3 linked regions of the Oryzias latipes genome follow. The protein of the gene in region 3 binds, or shares a complex with, the protein of the main gene of each other region. Links are inferred from orthologs where the notes say so. Each region holds a gene or a part of one and is shown on either strand. Other genes may lie near its edges.

Region 1 (3,755 bases), on a different chromosome or scaffold from region 3:
GGCCAAAGATCCCAGCGGGCCAGTAAGTATTCTAAGTGGACTTGAGTTTAAAAAAAAAACTCGTTTCTCACAGTGTTAACACCTTATTGGTCATATTTTCTTCAAAAACTGTGTGTGGATCTACAGAAGTACTTTCTCTTTGTCTGTACTCTGATCATTTTTAGGTAAATGGGTTTGTGTGTAAACGCACAGCAACATACTTTTCTGGTAATAGATATTTGTCTTAAAGAAATATTTTAGACACATTAAGGTTTTGGTTTAAAGTATAGAAACAAAAAGCATGGACCAGCTTTTCATCAGGGCTAATCAATGAAAGATTGCCATGGCAACAGGAGCAATGCTTTGAAATGCAGCTTACACAATGACATAGGAATGTGGTTCTTAAGACTTGAAAAAGTGTCACACATATCAGTGATACACAAATGTGTTCTCACAGAGACGGCAGGGATCCGCAGGTTGGGCCCCAGCATGTTGTTGAGGTGTGGGAAGGTACTCCAGGCCACATAGTCCCCTTGAGTGCCGGTGGCTGCAACCATCAGAGTCTGGTACTGAAACCTCACAACCGGCTGTTCTTCATACGTGCTTCGCTTTAACCAGAAACCTGAAATTGAAAAAACAAAACTATAAGGTTTTAGGAACTTTTTGACGTTGAGATTTCTTCTAATTCTATGTTACCATCAAACCAAAAACCAAACATAAAATAGCATAAGATTTCTATTAGAATCCTTCAGCCAAACTTCCCACAATCTCCTATAGAATTTGCTTCATTTTTTTTTTTTGGAATGGAATTTGCTTCTTGACAAGGTTTGTCATGCAGAAAACATGTCCATCTGATGTACCCAGAATTCAACAACTTTTCTGACTTTTCCATGGCATTTTTTACATTTGAACCCATTTTTAAAAATTACAGAAGACGTTTTAAAAGCATAATTCATCATTTACCAAATATGTTCGAATAATTCAGTTCAAAATAGCAGCATTTTTGTCACATTTGTTCCACAGCATTAATAAGGGCATTTTTGAATGGTAATATGGGTTACTGTTGTATTACAAGCAAAGGCACTAATGTGCAATGAAAGCCAGCATGAAAATAACACAACGTAAATTCTGTTCCTGTAATGGATTTGAAACATTCAAATCAAATAAAACTTTATTTATAGAGCAGTTTTTCCAACTTGAGTTACTTAAAGTGTTTTACATAAAAACATAATCCAATTTTAAAAAACCAAAAGCAAGACAAAAAATATGTATACAATGCATAAAATGCCCCCCGCCGCACACACACATGCACGCACACATGCACGCACACTATAGTAGTGCATCAAATGATTCACTAAAATGATGCAAAGTAGAAAGTAGAAATCCGGCTTTGTGGGGAAATTATAAACCGTCCTCACAAGTGAGCCCCACCCAAGTTCACAGAATACACTACAGGACTCCCCAGATGCAAGAACCAGACCCAGAAGATCCCACTGCAGCGATCCCCATTCACTGAAAAGGCTCGGCCACCTATTTGGAAGAAAATTGTAAACATGTCAAAAAAAAAAAAGTTTGGTAAAATTTAATAGGTGTGGGATTATAAATTCACTTCTTTCCCACCCAATTAATCAAACTCTATTTAAAAAACATAATATTTTATGGATTCAATGTATTGCACACGTGTGTACTGTATGAATAGGTGTAGATATACCTATTTATGATACATTGTAATGTCAAGTGTATAAAAACATTTTCTGTCATTTTATTTTTCTCAAACCAGTTTAGGAACTAATATTTTAAAATGATACTATATATACATACACACATATATATATGTATATATTTTGTTTTATTTTAGAGCTGAAAGCTGCATGAAATCCATCAATCAAATCAAAACACATCCAACAGATTTAAGGCTAATCTTTCAACAGACACAAATGGATTTAGTCATTTTGAAAACAACTCATATCTAGACTTAAAGCAAAAGTTGTAAAAACTTGGGTTATTTAATATAAAAGCTTATTCATATGCATTCAAAGAGAATAGTTGTTGTCTAAATCAAATAAATCTGAGTAAAAATGGAATGAAATATTGCTGAAATGTTATTAATTTGTTATTTTTACTGGACTAATAAAACTTTATTTAAAAGGCCCTGGCTTTACTCATAGGCTTTGTAACGTGTAAAGTAATATAGATAATAAAAATCCTTTTTTTATATTCTAGCATAAACAAAGACTTTAACAAAAACATAATATATTCTTTTGTTCAAAATGAAATAAATGGACACTTTAAAGCCTCGATATATATACTGTACCTTGACTCCTATAAGCAACAAGCAGAGGTGGGATGTAGGTTAGGCACAAAACAACAACCAGGAACAGCGTAGCCTTTGTGCAAACACTGGTTTTGTACCGAATTACAGCCGGATGAGAGTACACTTCGTAGAAAGCCATACGTTCGGTGTAAAGACAGCTAGCTGTAAGGCTACAGCTGGAGATGCTAACCTAGTAGCGGACTAAATGATTACCGGCGTAAAAATGTCGATACTACCTAAACTGGTCGTTAAGAAACTCCAAAAAATCTTCCTCTGGATTCTAAACGCCAGTAAATTCATATTTTTCTGATAACTTTTCGCGTTGAAATGCTATTTTGCTAGCCCCTGCAACATGTAAGGAAACGAGCCCCCCGCCATATTTCTGCAGCGTCCCTCGGTTTCCATGGCTACCATGGTTCAGGATGCATTCATGAACTGTGGGGAATGCTGAAACTCTTCTGTGGTCCTGAAATTAAGTAAAAGCACAAAAGTAGTTATTTCATTTCATGCCTGGAAAATTCCCATATATTATTATCTTTTTACGTTGTTATGGGAACTATTAATTTTAAATAAAAGCTCAAATAAAAGCATTAAAATTTTTTATACAATTGTGTTTCTAATAATAAATGCCCATGACCGTTCTAAGGCATTTCAATGTATCATTTTTGTTTCATTGTTTATTCAGTCTGACTGTATTAATTTTGTATTTCTTTGGTGTTGTTTTCATTAAACTAGAAGGATATTAATGTAGAAACTAGATATTAATGCGTGTCTGTCAACAGCCCCAACTACAAGGATTTTTTTGGACCGAGCACTGCTGGGCGCACTTGAACGCACCAGGAGCACCAACAGCCAGACGGTGACGTCACCTCTCCGCGAGACGGACAGCTGAGCAACAGAAGCTCTTTGTTGACGTTTTGTTTTGGTCGCTTTGGGCAGGATTTCTGCAAGTTTGAACCCCCAACAGGGTTAGCTGATCGTGAAGCCCGCCTTTCGCCCCTGCCGTCACGCATCAGTGCGGGAATCCAGCAAAGATGAAATGGATGTTTAAAGAGGACCATTCCCTCGGTAAAAAGGGTTTGGGTTGTTGTTATGAAACCAGAGAGAGATGTCCTCTTTTCATGTCGCGTGTTTTTCCTTTTTGCTCCGCGGACTGTGTGTCCTTCGATGTGGCTCCACCACCCATCACAGACACACTAACGCGGGGTTTTCGCAGGAGCCTGCCGGAAATCGATCCTGCTTAGCTTGGCATGATCATGCTAACACGCATTTGCTGCAGGTTGTTTAGGATCACCTCAAGAGAAACGCCATTTAAAGCATTGCATCATCATCTAGTATTGCTTTAATTTCAATATTTTGCATGCATTACTTAAAAAAGTATGGTGGATTAAAAAAAAACAACCTTTTTTTTAATCTATTTTTACTGTTTTTTTCTATTAGGCCTAGTTTGTGTTATATAAGA
Region 2 (3,755 bases), on a different chromosome or scaffold from region 3:
GTGAAACGTTTTCTAACTTTAAAAACTAAGAGGACAGCCCCTAAACTTACTACTATGATGGAATCAACCTGGATGAAAGAGAGTCTTCATAGACATAATTCTTCTATATTACAACATGTCTCACTACATTAATAATTTAGGAAAGGATTTTTCCTCCCTAAATCAATTTTAAATACTGTTTCTTTTTTTTGATAGCTGCACAAAAATGAAGTTACTGTTTCATGTTTTGTAACCTTGCGGTTCTGGATACTCTTGTCGCCCGACTTTAATTTATCTTCTGGCTCAGTTTGGTTAATATTTCTCTGACAATTAAGTCACCAAATGAGGATAAAGATAGATACAATGAGAGAAATAAGACTTATTTAAAAAAGTATAAATGTATTTTGGATTTAGCGTTGAAAAGCTTTACATGAGAAACAAATACACTACTGACAACAAAAAACTTGGTTTACATTTTAAACTTTTGCTAACTCTCCAACTTATTCAAAACAAACAACATAGTATAATTATTTTTTGTAATTACATAGTTCAAAATATATTTACAAAGATTGAAAAAAAAAACATTCTTTCTGGATCTATTGATGCCTGCTGAAGAAATTCTAACAATGTTGGCCCCTTTTTAAGGTGATCTAATAACTGAATTTCTGCAGCTACTGTCTTGTAGCAACAAATGGAAGCGTTCATCCATTCAATCTGAATCAACTCCTCTTCATAACGGCTTCTTCTTCAGTCCAAAAACCGCAATAAACAGAAGAATCTCCACAAAAGCTGGCAAGACACTGAAAGATGAGAAATAGAAAAAGAAATTAATAGAAATCCAGAAAGATAAAAGAACAATCCTTAAATGCATTCAAATTCCTTCAAAATAAGAGTGACTGTTACAGTATGCTGTCTTTCTAAAAGCCAACTATTCATTGAAAACAAGCATGCAGGCGAACCAACCTGCAGGTGGCAAAAATCACCCAGTAAGTCCAGCATTCCCATTGTTCAAACACAAAGAAAGACAAAGATACGGATGCGGAGCAGTGGACAGCTAATGCTGAAAGGAGCAGCTGTCAGGGAAAACTTTGGGGAAAAAAGGATAAAACGGATTTGCTAGGCGTCAAAAGACTAACCTGCAAATAGCAAAGATCCACCAGTAGATGTCACACTCCCACTGCTCAAACAGAAAAAAGAGCAAAGCCACAGAGGCACTGGCATGGACTCCTGTTGCTATAGCAGACAAGTTCTTAGTTACGGAATTGTAACTAATGACTAATAAGCATTGTTTAATCCATTCATTTATTCTTGTAAATCATGTTTTCTGCTATAAACCAGATGCTCATTTAGAAGCTAGAGCTGCTGGAGAAAAGACAATATCTGAAAATCTTTATTTTCCTCACAATTGTGAATCAATAGTTCAGTATCAATGACCATGACAAATATGAATCATCACTGTCAGTATAAAGGATACACAGAAGACCCTGGCTGGAACTGAACATGGAGACTCCTGAAAAGAAGCCTGCTAGCTCGATAGCAAACAGACCAAGAGTGGCTGACAAGGCTACAACCAACCTGAACAATAACCAAAGGGATGCGGGTTAGAATGTGAGCATTCAAGATTTTTTCATATATTTTCAATCATTTGTTACTTACTTTCTGTCTTCTGTGTCATACTGCTCCTGAGTAAACTCCAAAGGCAAACATGCCTTCACATTATTCTCCTAGAAAACAGAAACAAATACATAAAATAGCCGATTATGGTAACATTTCTAGATAAAAAATTGTTTATAAAAAAAAGGAGAAATAAACTTTTTGCAGCAAACAAAAATCTATATTTCTGCAGTTTAGGAAAAATATTTTGTGGAGTAGAATTTATTTCTATTTCACGATTTTTTTAAAAACTTTTGTTCTTTATTTTAAAATCACAAACTACACGTTATTGATATTTACAAAAAACAATAATAATATTAATAATAATAATAAAAAATATTTCTATGGCAGCTTGAGTCGTCCTTCAAGCTTTAACAACAACACGGACTGTCCTTACTTACCCTGGACCAAAAGATTGTGATGACGATGACAAGGTGAGCTATGATGGTGAGAAACCGCGCAGGAATTAGACTGCTAATAGAAGACATGTTGTTTCTGGTTCACAGAAGTGTCAGAAATGCTAGAAAATTCTAAATTTTAAAGCCAAACGGTCACGTTGGAGTTCACAGATCTCACACAACAGTCGTCGCTCCTGGTTCGCGGTATATCAACGCAACCGCGGTTCAATAAATAATCCAAAAATGATAATCAAGCATTTTTAAAGCCAATGAACTTATAAAATTAAAATTTTACTCTTTAATAGTCTTTTTTCTAAACAAAATTATACATAGAAATTTAACACACCCCGGTGTCGCATTGGGTTGCTACAACAGCCAGTGGCTGGGTGCATCCAATATTGCGACCCGTAAAAACATCCACCTTCCAAACGTTCCGGACACAAAAGGGAAGTGGATGCGACCCATCGCCTTTGTTGTTAAGCAGCACACAACACTAGCATCTAACGACAACACACACACAAAAATAAAACATGACAAAGTTAACGTGTGATTGTAGGATGAACATAGCCTCGCGTATCTAAAGAACGTAGAAAAGCCGATTTTTTTTTGTTTTTATTTTCTAAAAGAATGTTTTTTAAACGCTCCCCGATAAAGCTAACATTTTGGGGCAAAACGCCCCCACCCCCCTCCACCAGTTTCAGCAACCATTCCATTCGCATTTGGATAGACGACAGAGATTGAGCAGCACACCTCAAGCACAGCTATCTGTGCACGTCAGGGCCTAGTGTTTGCTACAAAACAGCCGGGGATTATTTTTCACACCCACTTAATAATCGTTTTAAACGAAACATTTTTTCTTTGGAAGCGTGCACATCAGAACAACAGAGCATGGCAGAAGAGGACTTCCAAACCTTTACCTCTGTCATGGACGCGCTGGTTCGTATCAGTGTAAGTGTGCGACGCCGGTTTATTCTAATATAGCCATTTCAAACGTGCTACATCTAAGAGAGGAAAAACAATAATGTAGTCTTACATATAACTTGCTTTATTGATAGTATGTTGATCTGGACAATCATGGCTATGAAATAAGAATGCGGAGCATTTTTCTACCGTTTACAAACATGTTTTGTCATCGCTTTAATAACCCGGAATAGGCTGAAAGCCACAGTCAGGTGGTGAATGGCAATAGAAAATATACAGTCGCAACGACCACATAATTCATTTTTAATAGATATAAGAACCTAAGAATGTTGCCAAATAGCATAAAATCAGGGCCAGAGGAAGATGTGCGTTGTCATAGAAACCGGATGCCGCGCCTTGTGGCTGCAGTAATGGAAAGGGGCCACCACAACCTAAAAAAAAAAGAAGCAACAATCAATGGCAAACAGAATGTTTCTGCATTGTTTGAATTGTTTTTTTTTATTAAAAATAATGTCTCAGCCAATTTACTCTTAGAAATAGGAAGCAGTGAAGCAATCACAGGAGGACTGCTAAGCATCATGGAGGTTACGTTCTTCTTTCCTTCTTGTCCTGTGCAATAAACGGCACACAACCAGAGTTCATCTAGATATTTCCTTCATCACTGCCATCATTTCCTTTCTTTAAATCAAGTCGCAGCTCTGTTGTCTTCTTGAACTTTCCTCTTCCCTCTTCTCCAGTCCAACATGAAGATGATGGAAAAGGAGCTGCTGTGCCCGGTGTGTGACGAGATCGTGAAGCAGCCCG
Region 3 (3,066 bases):
GACCTTTGAGTGGGCCGCCACCATCCAGGGGGGCGTGGGCCTTCTGGCTGTGAGTACTCCTGACTCTGCGGGGGTGGGTCCTCATCTTTGACCCACTTTGAAGGAGTCATGAATGTGATTAGCTCTGATCAATCATTAACCCTTTGTGCAGTGAAGCTGTCTCTGTCCACAGGCCCTCCTCCTGGGGATGTACTCCCTCTGGGAGCGCCGGCGGGGGAGGTAACGTCAGATCCATCATCAGGAATCTTCCTCATCAACCTGAAGTCTGAGAGTTTCTGTCTTTGCAGCGTGCAGCAAACAGCAGAAAGCACTCCTTTGCTGGACTGAGGAAACATCTAGGGGCGGGGCCAGCCGCTCTGCTCACGGAGAGAAGATCTGAACGCCATTCCTGCCAGAACGGGCCTTTGTCCGGAGCTTTTCCTGCTTAACAGCTTAGGTCTGGTGAGCGGGATTATTCCCCCAAAAACCTCCAGAGAGCGGACAGGAATCCTGTTCACACGGAGCCGCTTGTTTCACGGGTTTTTACTGTAAATAGTACAAAATAAAACTTTCCTGAACACAATGTTCTTGTTCCTCACACAAACACCTGCAGCCTCAAACACCAAAGATCTTTGGGTAATTTCTGACGGAGAACGCAGCAATAATGCTGTGGAGTATTAGTGACATCAGAACGGCTCTCTGGGTTTGTCCACAGTTTACGTGTCGGCCTCAAAGGCCCTGTTGGACCTCCCCGCTGGTCTCGGTGGCAGAGGTCTGCCTCTTATGGTTCTGGTCGACCCAGAAGTATCTGCGTCAGAAACTGTAGTCTGAGATGAAGACACAGGAACTCCAGGCTTTTTCACCTTCTTCTTTCTTCTGGTTCTGCTTTCAGGAAAGAAATGGATCCTTCAGGAACTCAGCCAGACATGTTTGTGTTGGGGTAACTGGATCTGTGTGGTTCTGGAGGATATAGGAGCTTCTTACCTGGCGTCAGTCAGTTCTGGTTCAGTGTCTGACAGAGTGGGTTCGGACAGAAACCTGAGCTCTCCGGACGAGCTGACAGCAGCAGAGACCTGAAAACCAGGAGGGGGTCAGAGAGGAACAGTTCAGACAAAGTCCGTCTTTAGATCATGACATTCCTGAATGATCCGGATCGGCCGTCTTCCTGTTAAATATAAGCCGGATTTCAGGAAGATGGTCTTTGTTCAGCATGAAGTCAGTCAATACTTTAGTTTGCATTAACATGAGCAGAGAAGGCAGAGTTTGGTTCATGTCTAATAAAAAAAGAAACTGACCATCTTCTGGTCTGTTTTCAAAGGCTTCCCAGAACGGAGCGAGCAGGGAGCTTGTGGCCCCGCCCATTTCACTTGCTGCTCAACAATTTGAATATAGAAATACTCAGATATGCATTTTAATCTTCTTTTATGCAAGTTCTCCATTGTGAGAAAAGGCCACCAGTACATGTTAAATCACCGATGCCATCGGAGTGGGTCTTTGAATCAGAAAACTACGGTCTCGCCAACAGATTACAGAATATGTTCAATATATATATTAATATATGTTAAACCGGTTCATGGCTGGATGCAGAGCCGATGGTCTGTGGTTGATCTTTAACGGTCAGATCTATCATTTGTTACTTCTGTAATCACCACTTTAACTGCCTGATGGGAAGTTCTCAAAGGGTCCGGACCAGTCCAGAACCACCCAGACATCATATAAAATATGATGATATGATAAATATATCATATATCATATATAAAAATGTTGCACTTCCCGCTCGGCCAGCAGGGGGGCGTGATCCTGCTGGATCATTTGATTATTAATGGAAGCGTCTTAACATTCCAGGAACCAAAACCAAATGTACTCCTGTTGAGGGGAGTTTGTAATGTGTTTGTAAAGTGTGAATGAACCCACTCACTGTCATAAGCACACCCTGGACCTTGTTCTAACCCATGGGATAGAGATCAGCCAGCTGAGTGTCCTTCCTCTTAACCCCATCATTTCTGATCACTTTCTGATTACCTTCCAGTTTACACTGGAACATCCTTCTGTCCCAGTGAATAAGAAACAGCTTAGAAGAACCTTAACTGACCGTTCTGTGTCTGAGTTTAAACACACAGTTCAGCCAGTACTTAGTGATATTCTGAGAAAATACTCTGAGACCAGCTCCCATAGTATCAGTCCTAGTATAAATGACCACTTTGTTAATGATGCCTTACAAGCCCTCAGGAGTACACTCCATGTTGTTGCCCCCTTGAAACCTAAGTTTGTTAGACAAAACCGAGTAGCACCGTGGTTTAACGCTGAAACTCGTTCTCTTAAACAAGAAACCCGTAAGTTGGAAAGAGAATGGCGCCGCTCCGGTTCAGAGCAGTCTCTGAATACCTGGAAACATAGCCTATTAAATTATAAAAAAGCTCTGCGTAGAGCTAGAAGCCAGTACTATTCAACCTTAATATCAGAGAATGGAAACAATCCAAGATTTCTTTTTAGCACTATAGCTAAATTAACTCGCAGTCAGAGCTCAGTAGAACCACATGTTCCTGTTTCTCTCAGCTCTGATGATTTTCTTACATTTTTCGATAGTAAAATCTCAAATATTAGACATAAGTTAAATCAAGTTATTCCTACTATCAGCCCAGAACAGGCTGAAGCGGTAGAAATGGAGGCATCCATAGAAACCTCTGTAACATTGGACTGCTTCACTGCTGTGGATCAAGCGGAAATAACATCAATTATTACGTCCTCCAAATCCTCAACGTGTCTGTTAGACCCAATTCCCACTAGACTTTTTAAAGAAACTTTTCCCCTAATTAATGATCCCATATTAACAATGATAAATACCTCTCTGGAAACGGGTTACGTGCCACAGTCTTTTAAATATGCAGTTGTTAAACCTCTACTGAAAAAGCCCAGTTTGGATCCTAGCATCTTGGCCAACTATAGACCGATATCAAACCTGCCCTTTATTTCTAAAATCCTAGAAAGAGTTGTAGTTAAGCAGCTTTACTGCCACCTACAGGACAACAGCCACTTTGAAGACTTTCAGTCGGGGTTTAGACCTCACCACAGGACGGAAACTGCACT

Evidence for each region.
Region 1: ahi1 (region 3) and tmem231 share a complex: the UniProt entries of both Homo sapiens proteins name them as parts of the tectonic-like complex. The link is inferred for Oryzias latipes from reciprocal best matches to the Homo sapiens genes AHI1 and TMEM231.
Region 2: ahi1 (region 3) and tmem107 share a complex: the UniProt entries of both Homo sapiens proteins name them as parts of the tectonic-like complex. The link is inferred for Oryzias latipes from reciprocal best matches to the Homo sapiens genes AHI1 and TMEM107.

Annotation. Positions count from the first base shown.
Region 1 is NC_019864.2:27,557,436-27,561,190, reverse strand, and holds the start of tmem231 (transmembrane protein 231), read right to left. Parts: upstream 2,712-3,755; 5' UTR 2,433-2,711; coding exon 2,294-2,432; intron 602-2,293; coding exon 435-601; intron 1-434. Other genes in the region: gamma-aminobutyric acid receptor-associated protein-like 2, read left to right, coding at 3,328-3,361. UniProt on the Homo sapiens protein: Transmembrane component of the tectonic-like complex, a complex localized at the transition zone of primary cilia and acting as a barrier that prevents diffusion of transmembrane proteins between the cilia and plasma membranes.
Region 2 is NC_019874.2:18,549,778-18,553,532, reverse strand, and holds tmem107 (transmembrane protein 107), read right to left. Parts: upstream 2,428-3,755; 5' UTR 2,121-2,427; coding exon 2,034-2,120; intron 1,704-2,033; coding exon 1,636-1,703; intron 1,555-1,635; coding exon 1,454-1,554; intron 1,213-1,453; coding exon of another isoform or gene 1,116-1,212; intron 1,040-1,115; coding exon 943-1,039; intron 780-942; coding exon 710-779; 3' UTR 358-709; downstream 1-357. Other genes in the region: tripartite motif-containing protein 46, read left to right, coding at 2,919-2,978, 3,689-3,755. UniProt on the Homo sapiens protein: Plays a role in cilia formation and embryonic patterning. Requires for normal Sonic hedgehog (Shh) signaling in the neural tube and acts in combination with GLI2 and GLI3 to pattern ventral and intermediate neuronal cell types.
Region 3 is NC_019880.2:267,416-270,481, reverse strand, and holds the end of ahi1 (jouberin), read right to left. Parts: intron 1,275-3,066; exon of another isoform or gene 1,053-1,274; coding exon 964-1,052; exon of another isoform or gene 872-963; intron 865-871; coding exon 696-864; 3' UTR 508-695; downstream 1-507. Other genes in the region: MFS-type transporter SLC18B1, read left to right, coding at 1-49, 173-219, 288-327. UniProt on the Homo sapiens protein: Involved in vesicle trafficking and required for ciliogenesis, formation of primary non-motile cilium, and recruitment of RAB8A to the basal body of primary cilium.